4 linked regions of the Saccharomyces cerevisiae S288C genome follow. Changing the gene in region 3 together with the main gene of any one other region gives a genetic interaction. Each region holds a gene or a part of one and is shown on either strand. Other genes may lie near its edges.

Region 1 (3,086 bases), on a different chromosome or scaffold from region 3:
GTATAATTATCATTCAGTAGCTCAGGAGAAACATATTCTGCGGTACCAACAAATGATTTCGACTTAGCATACAAATCGAAATAAGGCTTGCCATCTGCGGTGTTCGAAGGTTCCTCCGGTAAAATTTTGGCTGTACCAAAATCCGTCAACTTCACTTTCATATTTTTGTCGAGCAATATGTTTTCGGGCTTGATATCCCTGTGAATAATGCCGATATTATGCAAGGAGTCAACGGCATCGATGATCTGCGACGCATAATAGCGTGCACATGTCTCGTTTAAAGATCCATATTTCTTAATCAAGCCCAAGAAATCACCGTGGGGGGCATATTCTAGAAGGAAATACAAGCTTGCCTCGTCCTGGAAAGTGAAGAAAAGCTTGAATATGCCCTTGGTGCCATTCAGCTTCTGCAAAGCCAATTTCTCCACTGTGACGTATTTAACTTTTTTTTGACGGATCAGATATTCTTTACTCAACACTTTTACTGCATATTTCTTGCCCGAATCACGGGCGGTAGCCAGAACAACACTAGAATATGATCCATCCCCGAGTTGCTCTCCAAACTTGAAGTCCTTTATTCCCATCTTGACAACATGCTTAGTTAACTCCCCCGTAGCTGGGTCGACAACATCTTTGACGATTTTTGCCGCACCACGTTCTGCCCATTCTTCTCTTCTACGCCTCATTGAGGGATCAAGACCCATCTCGTGCTGCATACCCGGGTCATCATTTGCCAGGGGAATGAAGCGATTAGTACTAGTCAATGCCTTTTCTCCAAACTGACCTTGTGGAGAAGCCTGTAGTTCAGACCCGCTCTGAGAATTGCTGCCATCTACGAAAGGACGAGGATACTCTTGCGTTTGTGTATGTTCCGCAGATGTCGGTACCAAGGGCTTGGACAGCAGGGCGTGGTCTGCCTCTGTCAAAGACCTATTTCCCATATTAATGATATAGTAGCAGTATTCAAGCAAGTACACGTGCGCAAGTTGTACCAGATAGTGACTGTCCAGCGTTACTTTCTCGCCTGCTCTGTATTACTCTTGTTGTCACTCCGCAATATCTCAAAGCCATTAATATGTACTAACTTGAATTTTTCATGCTCCCTTAAACGAAAATAACCCTACTGAGATTTTCACCTTTATAGGGTTATATGCTAAAATAAGTAGGTCTTATCATGCAACCTTTAGGGTCCAAGCCCTTAAATCCGACAGTCGGGCAAGCCCATTTTCCCAACGATTTTTCAACGGTTTTTTTGCCTGCAGGGCATCGGCAATTTGACAATACTCACGACCGATGGATGCAGCAATCAACGTAAAAACCTTACTTAGCCGGTTACTCATGTATATGTCAGACATATATACACACGCACACATATATATATACGTACATGTTGGCACCCTTCTGTTAATAGAATTTGATTTCTTTTCTAAAGGCATATCAGTATCATCAGTTGAAACAGTAAGGAGCTCCGCAAGCGCAATATTAACTTTACAAAAGTGATTCTGGTTCCTAACTTTTCTATTGTTTTCCATTTTCGTCATTCGTTTTGTTATTAGTCGCCTTAATTGAGTCAAGCAAGATAAAAGAAGAAAAAAAATGAGTATCACCACTACTAGAAGAAGAAACCAAGATAGTGTCTGCTGCAAGGCAACGAGAGCCTCCATTAAGGTGGAAGCTGTCTCAGGCCAGACAGTTTTTGAAAAGCAAAAACTGCTACACAATTTCGATGAGTTGCCAGAATGGCAAAAAGATAATGACAAAATTCTCACCGGGTACGTTCGTGAAACACTGTCATGGAAAAAGTGCTTATATTCTTTATTTTATTGGAACAACGAGACTGTGAACATTTATACACATTTGGTACCGGCTATCGTATACTTCGTGTTTGCCATTACGTTGACCAACTACTTTCTAATTCCCGTTTTCCCCTCCACTTCCTGGTCCGATTACACCGTTATAAACATTTTCTTGATGGGCGCTTTCTCATGTCTCATGTGCAGTAGCTGTTTCCACTGCATGAAGCAACACTCTGAAAAGCAAAGCAATTTCTGGAGCAAGCTCGACTACTTGGGGATTATCAGTTTGATTTCCTGTTCTATGATCCCTATAATATACTTTGGTTACTTCGACCACATATCCTACTTCAGTCTTTTCACGATTGTTACTTTAGTCCTGGCAACATTTTGTACAGTCTGTGTCCTCCACGACAAGTTTAACACTTCCACATTTCGTCCATTTAGGGCCATGTTTTTCATATTGTTTGGATTTAGTGGCTTACTCCCATTGACCACAGGGTTTTTCAAGTTCGGTATCCAAGGGGTTCTTAACAGAATAAAAGTCAGCTTTGTGTTTTGGGAAGCTCTCTTTTACATTTCAGGGGCTGTAATCTACGGGTTTAGGATTCCTGAAACTTTGGCTCCAGGGAAGTTCGATTTCTTCGGTAGCTCTCATCAAATATTTCATATTATGGTGGTTCTTGGTTCTGTATGCCACTTGAAAGCCATTATCGATTCTTACAAATTAATGCATTCTCATATCCACCCTTGATGGGCCTACAACTACTACAAAATCAAATAAATAACATTATATATCTAAGGTTAGAAAATAATTAAATGCAAAAAAAGTCTTTATTCCTTTTTAGATATTCGTCACATCATGCTTTTATCATAGATCGCATTTTGACAGGTACTTCGCTATATTAGCCTAATTAATTTTGGTCTTACTAAAGTGAGTAATGCCGAAAAATTAAACGTTTGAATAAGTGAACCTACTACAAAGGAAAGAGAGGAAGAGAAAAGGATAGGACTAAAAGACTTCCTTATATTTTTCGGTACGCTTGCGTTTCACTGAAGAGAATAAAAAGAACAAATTATATAAATTTAACACACTATGAGCACGAGAACAAAGGCCCTGAATGCATACAGGCATGGCTTAAGAGCAACCCGAATAGCTTTCCGGAATGATGCTGAAGTATTACTAGCCGCGAGAGCTAAAATGCGTTCAGGAATGTTATGTCCCCCAGATCCTAAACTCACCACAGAGGATCAGATTCAACATTTAGAGGATGTGGCTGTTTTTTTGAGACG
Region 2 (3,115 bases), on a different chromosome or scaffold from region 3:
GGTTTCCAATTCGGATCTTGTCTTGTGATAAGAATCATAGTTACCACCGTAAGCAGTTAGTTTTTGAGCTCTCATGTCAATCATATTGGTACAAACACCGTTCAAGAAATCTTGAGAGTGGGACACCAAAACTAAAGTTCTGTCAAATCTCTTCAAATATTCTTCTAACCAAACACAAGCTTCCAAATCCAGATGCGCAGTAGGATCATCCAACAATAATAGAGTTGGCTTAACGAAAAGAGCTTTTGCCAACGCAACACGCATTTTCCATCCACCAGACATATCTTTGGTTTTCTTCAAAATGGTCTTCTTGTTGAAACCTAGACCGATCAAAATGATAGCAGCTCTAGATTCAAAGGTGTCTGGATCCAAAGAGTCCATTCTTTCATATAGAGGCTCTAATAACTCGGACTCAGGACCATCTTCCAAGATAGTCTTTTCGACTAAGTCTTCTATTCTTTTCAATTCGTGTTGAGCTTCAGTGACAACGTAGTCCAAGGCCGACAATTCACTTGGTTCCGCAGGTTCGTCCAATAAATAAATATCAATATGCTCAGGAATAGGATATTCTCTAGTAGCAAGAGCCTTTAAGAATGTTGACTTACCACAACCATTTTCTCCCAGAAGACCATATCTACGGCCGTAGTTTAATTCTAAACCAGAATCTTGGATCAAAACTTTACCGTGGAACAGTAAAGAAACAGAAGATAGCTTGATATCACGGGAAGTCTCCAATGAACTCAAAACACCAGTGACAACACGATCTGAAAGACCATCCTTATCTTGTTGCAACTTCATCATCTTGATTTCTCTAGCGGCTGCATCTACCTCCGATTCTTCAGCAGCAGCCTCCTTTTTTCTACCTAGCTTTCTGATGGTTTTACCGGCAGCGGCTTTCTTAGCCTCTCTTTCAGCTTTCTTAGCATCTCTCTTGGCCTTTGACGCAGATACTGGTGGCATATTTGGTTCTGTCAAGTTACTGTTTGTAGCACTGAGGGGAAGAAAACAATTTTTGCAAGAAAAAAGTTAAGAAAGAAGAAGAAAAACTACACGGGCACTAACATGTTAAATATGATAATATTTTTTTTTATAAGAGAATCACTACCAAGTTACCTGAACTACGTCAAGGAAAAGCCATTAATTGAGATGAGGTGAACGAAGAAAAAAAAAAAGAAAAAAATTTTTATTTTTTTTTCCATCGGTCTCCCCCCTCACCTTTCTTTTTTCATTCGTTTAAAGTGAGATTAGGGTAATGCATTTCGTATTTAGTGAGTAAACGTCAAAGGTGATATAGGGGGTTTTTCTTTTTCCAGAAAAAGAAAGAAAAAAGCCGGCGGTCGCCGCCGGAGATGGTTGAGAAAAAAAGGGGGCAGCAACGTGCTTCACATACAAACCAAGTTCTTGGATCTGTACGATCGTTTCTGCGGGTTTTTCCGTATTTGCCGCAATACTGAAATGGCTCATTATTAGGAGATGTGCATATAATGTATATACATACATTTAGCATATGTAATACATTCGTACATGTATAGAAATATATGTTTATATATATATATATATATATATGTATATACGAACTCGGTTTAACGCATAGTTGGTAAAAGATTTAATGTAGATAAAAAACACATAAGTTTTATACGCACGTAATCATGACTATCGCTAAAGATTACAGAACAATTTATAGAAACCAAATCAAAAAGCAGATACGACTAAATCAGGAGCATTTGCAAAGCTTGACACATCTAGGCTCACAAATCAATTTCGAGGTGGATCCTCCCAAATTACCGGATCCGGATCCTGCTCGAAAAGTATTTTTCTTTGATATCGATAACACTTTGTACAGAAAATCTACGAAGGTACAATTGCTCATGCAACAATCATTATCAAATTTCTTTAAATACGAATTGGGGTTTGACGACGATGAGGCAGAACGCCTAATCGAATCGTATTATCAAGAATATGGATTATCCGTGAAAGGTTTAATAAAGAATAAACAAATTGATGACGTCCTACAATATAATACATTCATCGATGATTCCTTACCTTTGCAAGACTATTTAAAGCCTGATTGGAAGTTAAGGGAGCTGCTGATCAATTTAAAGAAAAAGAAGCTCGGCAAATTTGACAAACTATGGCTGTTTACAAACTCGTACAAAAATCATGCCATCAGATGTGTTAAAATATTAGGTATTGCTGATCTATTTGACGGCATAACCTATTGCCACTACGACAGACCCATCGAGGAAGAATTCATTTGCAAGCCAGATCCAAAATTCTTCGAAACAGCTAAATTGCAAAGTGGGTTGTCGAGCTTTGCAAATGCCTGGTTTATTGATGACAACGAAAGCAATGTGCGGAGCGCGTTGAGCATGGGGATGGGCCATGTTATCCATTTGATAGAGGATTACCAATATGAGTCAGAAAATATTGTTACTAAGGACCACAAAAATAAGCAACAATTTTCCATATTGAAAGATATCCTTGAGATTCCATTGATAATGGACGTTGAAGTTTACCGTCCATCCTCTATTGCCATAAAGGAAATGGAAGAGTTGGAAGAGGAAGGGGAAGCAGTCAACTGGTCAAATCAACAGATCAATGTTCAGTCATCATGACTGTTACCTGATTTTAGAAAACAAATTTAATATTCCCTTCAGGATAGAAATTTCAACATCATTTGTCGTTTCATTAGAAATATCCAAAATACAATCTTTGAAATATTCTGTTACTTGACATTTGGGACCAAAAGGAATAAATTTCGAGCCATACATCGTTAAAATAAAATATAGTAGATTTTTATAGTTTTTACAATCAAAAAATTCGTTAAACTCTTTGATTATATTTTGCTGTATAGTTTCAGTCCGACCTTGCTTTTCACTAAAGCGTCTCCTGAGCAAGGCGCTTTGTAAATGAGGGAAGATTTGTAGTAGCCTATAATGTAAAAAAAAGTCGTTCTTGTCCACAATTTCGAAATATGAATTTATGAAATGTGCCTCATTAAATAATTCCAGGACCTTAAAACACAGTCTATGGTCCGATTCCATAGCGTTAAAAACCTTTCTATCCAAGATTAAACATATGAAGGCTTTCAGAAAGAATTCTCTAACATCATCAT
Region 3 (2,935 bases):
AGAGATGGTCAAGTATCTGTACGAGAAATGAGCGCAAAATCAAATAAAAACTTTCACAATAATCACCCCATGGATGCACTCTACCTTAAAGAGTCTTTTGATGACGGTTTAATTACCGAAAACGGCTCCAGTTGGTTCATGGACGATTTAATTCTTATAAGCAAGAAATCTTTACCACGTAAATATTCTAAAAGAGACAAAGATCAAGTGGCGGCACCAAAAATGACCTCTAAGAGAAACAAATCGTTCTTCGGATGGCTAAAACCATCTAAAACGACTACACTTATTGAGCACACATCTAGAAGGACTTCTTTATCGTATTTGAATAAGGATTCTGAATGGGAGAGGGTGAAAATACAGGTCAAGGAGGGCAGAATTTTTATTTTCAAAATTAAACCAGATGTTAAGGATATCATCCAATCAAGTGAAACAGACAGTGCTACCATCGACTATTTCAAAGATATCAGTAGCTCTTATTTTGCTTACTCACTGCTTGAAGCTGAAGCACATGTCGTGCAAGATAATATAATTATAGGTAGTGGAGCAATGAAATCAAATGTGTGTAACAAAAACACCAAGAGGAAAAGTGGCAACTTTACCGTTAGTTTTCCAGAGAATATCAACGGACCAAAGCTTGTTCTGGAGTTCCAGACGAGAAGTGTTGAAGAAGCCCACAAGTTTATGGACTGTATCAACTTCTGGGCAGGTAGGATTTCTCCAGTTCCTTTAACACAATTCGAAGCCGTATCTAACGCAGAATATGGATGGAGTGACAAGATCTTGACAGAGCACGCTTCCCTCAATCTTAAAAATATTGTTGTAAGTGAATGGAAGCCACTATTGGGGCTAGAGCTACTATACGAAGATGCGAAAGATGTAGAGATGGTCGAACTAAAAGAAAGGCTAAAGGAATTGATGAACTTCACCAGACAGCTTGGTATATGGATAGATAAACATAACGAAATAAAGGATAAGCTGGTCGAAATTTGGAGCTTTGACGATAACTATTTTGAAGCAGTCATGAATAATTGGAATTCGAGATATTTGTATATGAATAATCAATATAAGAAACGACTGAGCTACTTGAAAGCTTTGCAAAAAGCCATGGGTTCTGTTCAGTTCTAAGTATATTTAAAGATATAAATATAAAGACTGCGCTGAAGAAATATAAACTTGAAAACTGTACTCTGCCTTTTATTTACAAGGGATATTGAGATGATTTGTGTGAATGAAGTAGCGACAGAAAAAAAGCTTTTATTTCGAGTTCGCATCATTGTCACTTTCCTGCTTTTTCTTGGCGTACTGTCTATCTAAGATAGTCTTTAATATAGCGTCCTCGCCATATTCTTCTTCCTCAATTTTCTTCCATCTCTTTTCTACATCAGCTCTCTTTATTCTACTTTCAATGACAGCACGTTTCTTGTTATTCAAACTTGCCTCCTTGAGACACTTGTTCAAAGCATCCTTTTCGTTGTTACAAAGGCCAAATATTCTCTTGTAATATTCCTTTTGATGGCATTTATCGAGTGCATTGATGAAGTCCAAACAGGCTAAAATGAAGAAGGGGAGAATACAATGTTAGTAAGTCGGAGCACAGAAAAAGGCAAATATATGAAGTAAAATCTGGATACTTACAATGAAAACGTTCAGCTTCTAACTGTGGATGCATGTTGTAGTACTTGTCTTATCTTGCTTTTGTTCAACTGCACTTGTAAATCAGTGAATGTTATTGGACGCGCAGCGATTTTTTAATAGGTCTTTCTCTATTAATGTAATATGCGAATTGAAACATAATGTAAACACAAGAAGAAAATTCGAAATAAAGGACTGGCCAACAATAATGTTAGTGAGCAGAAACGACAAGCCCAAAATCAGTAGTGAGGAAGTCACACATTTTATAGACGACTATAAAAAGAGGAGGAAAACTCAGATGACACGATTCTTCGGAATCACTATTTTTACACTTATAACATGTAGAATTGCCATGAAGAAAATGATAACTGCAAAAGGTATGCATAGGCAATAACTTCGGCCTCATACTCAAAGAACACGTTTACTAACATAACTTATTTACATAGTGCCATTGAACACTTTTCAAGCAAACTACGCCAGCCGGACGCAGACAATAACACACACACAAAAGAGTCTTGCAGGTTCTCTTTTAGCGGCAACGGGCATGACACTAGGTATATTTGGTATGGGCATCACAGGGACATGTTGGAGCTGGGATGTTTCATCATTTCAGGAACTAAAGCAACGTCTGGAAAGGCGTGCCAACAACGAATTTGTAGTGACAAACATGCCTCTGGATAAAAGAAGCCAGCAAGTAGTGGACAGCTTAGTTAAGACACACAATTCATCTCTTTGTAAATAGTGTTATACCATAGTAGTAGTTTCAATAATATATTCCACTACTTATATGTGTTACCCGCATTAGAACTCTTATTGGTGGCGAAAATCGATGGCAATAAAGAACGGAAGGGGTTTAATAGTTGTATGCTTAACATATTTCGATTTAAATATATAAGAAACGTCGGTAGCACAACAATTAACTCATTATTTAGGTATGGCGGAAATACCTGATGAAACCATCCAGCAGTTCATGGCATTGACCAATGTGTCGCATAACATAGCCGTTCAATATCTCTCTGAATTTGGAGATTTAAATGAAGCACTAAATTCCTATTATGCTTCTCAAACGGATGACCAAAAGGATAGAAGAGAGGAAGCACATTGGAACAGACAGCAGGAGAAGGCCCTCAAGCAAGAAGCCTTCTCCACCAACTCTTCGAATAAAGCCATAAATACGGAGCACGTTGGTGGGTTATGTCCAAAACCAGGATCCTCACAAGGTAGCAACGAGTACTTGAAAAGGAAAGGTTCTACCTCTCCTGAACCAACCAAGGGTAGTAGCCGCTCTGGAAGTGGTAACAAC
Region 4 (4,918 bases), on a different chromosome or scaffold from region 3:
ACACTCGAAATACTCTTACTACTGCTCTCTTGTTGTTTTTATCACTTCTTGTTTCTTCTTGGTAAATAGAATATCAAGCTACAAAAAGCATACAATCAACTATCAACTATTAACTATATCGTAATACACAATGTCTATTCCAGAAACTCAAAAAGCCATTATCTTCTACGAATCCAACGGCAAGTTGGAGCATAAGGATATCCCAGTTCCAAAGCCAAAGCCCAACGAATTGTTAATCAACGTCAAGTACTCTGGTGTCTGCCACACCGATTTGCACGCTTGGCATGGTGACTGGCCATTGCCAACTAAGTTACCATTAGTTGGTGGTCACGAAGGTGCCGGTGTCGTTGTCGGCATGGGTGAAAACGTTAAGGGCTGGAAGATCGGTGACTACGCCGGTATCAAATGGTTGAACGGTTCTTGTATGGCCTGTGAATACTGTGAATTGGGTAACGAATCCAACTGTCCTCACGCTGACTTGTCTGGTTACACCCACGACGGTTCTTTCCAAGAATACGCTACCGCTGACGCTGTTCAAGCCGCTCACATTCCTCAAGGTACTGACTTGGCTGAAGTCGCGCCAATCTTGTGTGCTGGTATCACCGTATACAAGGCTTTGAAGTCTGCCAACTTGAGAGCAGGCCACTGGGCGGCCATTTCTGGTGCTGCTGGTGGTCTAGGTTCTTTGGCTGTTCAATATGCTAAGGCGATGGGTTACAGAGTCTTAGGTATTGATGGTGGTCCAGGAAAGGAAGAATTGTTTACCTCGCTCGGTGGTGAAGTATTCATCGACTTCACCAAAGAGAAGGACATTGTTAGCGCAGTCGTTAAGGCTACCAACGGCGGTGCCCACGGTATCATCAATGTTTCCGTTTCCGAAGCCGCTATCGAAGCTTCTACCAGATACTGTAGGGCGAACGGTACTGTTGTCTTGGTTGGTTTGCCAGCCGGTGCAAAGTGCTCCTCTGATGTCTTCAACCACGTTGTCAAGTCTATCTCCATTGTCGGCTCTTACGTGGGGAACAGAGCTGATACCAGAGAAGCCTTAGATTTCTTTGCCAGAGGTCTAGTCAAGTCTCCAATAAAGGTAGTTGGCTTATCCAGTTTACCAGAAATTTACGAAAAGATGGAGAAGGGCCAAATTGCTGGTAGATACGTTGTTGACACTTCTAAATAAGCGGATCTCTTATGTCTTTACGATTTATAGTTTTCATTATCAAGTATGCCTATATTAGTATATAGCATCTTTAGATGACAGTGTTCGAAGTTTCACGAATAAAAGATAATATTCTACTTTTTGCTCCCACCGCGTTTGCTAGCACGAGTGAACACCATCCCTCGCCTGTGAGTTGTACCCATTCCTCTAAACTGTAGACATGGTAGCTTCAGCAGTGTTCGTTATGTACGGCATCCTCCAACAAACAGTCGGTTATAGTTTGTCCTGCTCCTCTGAATCGTCTCCCTCGATATTTCTCATTTTCCTTCGCATGCCAGCATTGAAATGATCGAAGTTCAATGATGAAACGGTAATTCTTCTGTCATTTACTCATCTCATCTCATCAAGTTATATAATTCTATACGGATGTAATTTTTCACTTTTCGTCTTGACGTCCACCCTATAATTTCAATTATTGAACCCTCACAAATGATGCACTGCAATGTACACACCCTCATATAGTTTCTCAGGGCTTGATCAGGGTTCCGTAGATGGGAATTTGAGAAGTATAAGGGAGATAACGGTAATGTTATATTGAGAAAATGAAAGATGAACTCAGTATTGACAGGATCTAAAACCAAAATATAGCGGGCCTATACAGGAAGTAGTATTTGTAAAAGTAAACCATGTTGCTAGTACGAACGACTTCCCTGAATGTGTCAAGGATGCCAGTGCCATGCCTCGCCAGAGGAATAGGCATCCTCAAGGGCAAATATAGACTAGCGAACCTGATGAATGCCCAACCCTCAGTGAGACATGTGTCGAGCGAGATCCAGCAAAAGGATCAGCAGGCAGGAGAGTCAAACACCGCCACCGATACTGGTGTTATTCACAAATCAGATGAAGAAACTCTGATATATTTCGATAATGTTTACGCTAGAACCACCTCGGTTTGGAATCCAACACTGTGGTACAATCTCCTGCTAAGAAACCAGTCACGGGATGCAGTGAGGGAGAAAATAAGGAATTTAGCCAGTCCACCCAATAACCCCATTTATGGACTGGAGTTGAAGTCTACCATTCCAGTGAAAAGGGATGGTGGTGTATTTGCCACATTTGTCGTTCCACCCAAGTATACAAAAGCTCAGGTAAATTCTCTAATCCAACAGAATACAGCCAGAGAATCCTCTAAAAACTTACTCTCGTACTTCACTCGAGCTTCTGCCTTCCCAGTAAAGGGTTCGCCTTGGATTGAGGATTTAAGAAGACTACCAAGTACCACTATAGTCATCAAGTTCCAAGGGCCCGCCTTAACAGAAGAAGAAATATACTCTTTATTCAGAAGATATGGGACAATTATTGATATTTTCCCTCCCACTGCTGCTAACAACAATGTGGCAAAGGTAAGATACCGTTCATTCCGTGGTGCCATTTCTGCCAAGAATTGTGTTTCCGGTATCGAAATTCATAATACCGTCTTACACATACAATACGAAAATATCAGAAGAGGCCATCTAGTTAGTAATTTTTTCACCAACCATACAAGGATTGCTATTCCAGTTTTATTTGCGCTACTTTCAATCTTTGCTGTTTTAGTGTTTGATCCTATAAGAGAATTTTCGATTGAACAGAAGATCACTCACAAATATTCTTTATCGTGGGACAATAAGTTTTGGAAACAACTGAAAACGCTAACCTCATCTACCATGACTTCTATCAAGTACTACTGGGGCGGCCCTGATGATAATCACCAAAGAAAGCATTTATGGGAGGAAAGAATAGAGAAAGTGAATGACCTGAAAATGTGGCTTGAAGAAAATAATAATACTTTTGTGGTTATAAGGGGGCCTAGAGGTTCAGGGAAACATGATTTGGTCATGCAACACACTTTGCAAAATAGAGCAAATGTTTTGTATTTGGATTGTGATAAATTGATTAAGTCCAGAACAGATCCTATGTTTTTAAAAAATGCCGCTAGTCAATTGGGTTATTTCCCAATATTCCCATGGATTGACTCTGTCACAGGTGTCCTTGATTTAACAGTGCAAGGATTAACAGGGCAAAAAACTGGGTTGTCTGAGACGAAGGAATCTCGGTTTAGAAACATGTTAACTACCTCATTGATGTCCATTAGACGTATTGCTCTCAAGAATTACAAGGCTTTTGTTTCCACCGGTGATGGGACAGTTAATGTTAAGGAAGAAGATTACCTACAGCAACATCCGGAAGCTAAACCCGTTATCGTCATAGATAGGTTTGAGGGCAAGTCGGAAATAAATGGATTTGTGTATAAGGAACTATCCGATTGGGCAGCTATGCTAGTTCAAATGAATATTGCTCATGTGATTTTCTTAACGGAAACCGTTGCATCCAACCAAAGATTGAGCGAATCACTACCCAATCAAGTCTTCAAAAACCTAATCCTATCAGATGCCTCAAAAGAGAATTCGAGGAACTATGTATTATCCCAATTGGAGGATTACTTATATTACAATAAAAAATCCAAGGGTGAAAACGTAAAAGAACCTGAATCAGAAAAGGAAACTGCTGAAAATAATGATTCTGATAGTGAGGCCGATACGAGTGTCAAAAAAGCTGAGGTTATTTTAAATGAAAAGGAATTACAGGAAATTGACGCTTCTTTAGAGCCATTGGGTGGTAGGATGTTAGACTTACAGGCATTTGTAAGAAGGGTAAAGTCAGGAGAAGAGCCCTCGGAAGCAGTAGACAAAATGATTGAACAGGCTTCTGAGCAAATAACTCAAATGTTTTTAAGTGACAAGATTGACAGCAATAAAAGTGCACAAGCCTGGGAATTAATCGAATTATTGAGTGCGAACCCAGTCATTCCATTCCATGAAATCGTTAACAAGCCATTATTCAAAGCCGCACCAGAAACGGGAATCATGGAATTGGAGAATAATGGTTTAATAACTGTATCTAGAGATAGGGGTGTTTTACAGGAAATCAGGCCTGCCAAACCGCTATACAGGGCAGCATTCACATACTTGATCAACGATCCTGAACTCGCAAAAGTGCTAAAAACCCGTTACTTATTAAAGGTTGTGGGTTTTGAAACTGGTAGAATCAAGAAATGGGAAGAAGAATTAAAACCTTTGGGGAAAGTTCCTGATCAGAAACTTTTCAAGACCAGATTGGACTATTTATCCGGTAAAATCAATGCCAGTAATGCAGTCATTACCAAATGTGAAGAAGAAATTAAAAACCTATCTAAGTGATGAAACAAAACTTACTATTCTGCTTTTCTGTACATATGTGTAAACCCTATATTGCTATACTCATCTATATTCTTTTGAAAATGTATAAAAGTGACGATTGGAGATGGTGCAATTTTCTACGCAGCATGAAAAATATCTAAGGAAGGTAAGGTACATACCAAGTAAGTCTTATAATATGTTGTTGTACCTCACTTTACCATTCTTAAAGTCTTTAAAAGAAATTACCTTACCCAATTTGCACAGCAAAGGTCACTGACCTATACGTGCCCTTCATCAGATTACATCACGTGAAATTTCACTGGGAAAGAGCGCGAGGGCTTTCCGATGACTTTCTACATTAATAATCGCAAACAAAGCAATCAGCACAGCAAAGAGTACAATTTCGAAAATTGCGACAGAGCAACGTAAGTATATCGTTGTTGATAGATTCCACTCCAACCTGCAAATGCTGCTTCTTCCAAGATGTCCTGTAATTGGGCGAATTGTAAGATCAAAATTTAGATCTGGTCTAATCCGGAACCAT

Evidence for each region.
Region 1: mutations in IAI11 (region 3) and IZH1 together harm fitness more than expected from each alone (negative genetic interaction), as found in Saccharomyces cerevisiae (2 studies listed by BioGRID).
Region 2: mutations in IAI11 (region 3) and PHM8 together harm fitness more than expected from each alone (negative genetic interaction), as found in Saccharomyces cerevisiae (2 studies listed by BioGRID).
Region 4: mutations in IAI11 (region 3) and YME2 together harm fitness more than expected from each alone (negative genetic interaction), as found in Saccharomyces cerevisiae (2 studies listed by BioGRID).

Annotation. Positions count from the first base shown.
Region 1 is NC_001136.10:1,433,328-1,436,413, forward strand, and holds IZH1 (PAQR-type receptor), read left to right. Parts: upstream 1-1,596; coding exon 1,597-2,547; downstream 2,548-3,086. Other genes in the region: serine/threonine protein kinase PKH1, read right to left, coding at 1-941; MZM1 (Mzm1p), read left to right, coding at 2,890-3,086.
Region 2 is NC_001137.3:224,240-227,354, forward strand, and holds PHM8 (bifunctional nucleotidase/lysophosphatidic acid phosphatase), read left to right. Parts: upstream 1-1,649; coding exon 1,650-2,615; downstream 2,616-3,115. Other genes in the region: ATP-binding cassette family ATPase ARB1, read right to left, coding at 1-960; Smc5-Smc6 complex subunit KRE29, read right to left, coding at 2,619-3,115. UniProt on the Saccharomyces cerevisiae protein: May be involved in phosphate metabolism.
Region 3 is NC_001134.8:108,871-111,805, forward strand, and holds IAI11 (Iai11p), read left to right. Parts: upstream 1-1,723; coding exon 1,724-2,009; intron 2,010-2,078; coding exon 2,079-2,374; downstream 2,375-2,935. Other genes in the region: Arf family guanine nucleotide exchange factor YEL1, read left to right, coding at 1-1,125; CMC2 (Cmc2p), read right to left, coding at 1,255-1,550, 1,636-1,669; protein phosphatase regulator SHP1, read left to right, coding at 2,567-2,935.
Region 4 is NC_001145.3:869,550-874,467, reverse strand, and holds YME2 (Yme2p), read left to right. Parts: upstream 1-1,842; coding exon 1,843-4,395; downstream 4,396-4,918. Other genes in the region: alcohol dehydrogenase ADH2, read left to right, coding at 131-1,177; ATP-binding cassette Fe/S cluster precursor transporter ATM1, read left to right, coding at 4,841-4,918. UniProt on the Saccharomyces cerevisiae protein: Plays a role in maintaining the mitochondrial genome and in controlling the mtDNA escape. Involved in the regulation of mtDNA nucleotide structure and number. May have a dispensable role in early maturation of pre-rRNA.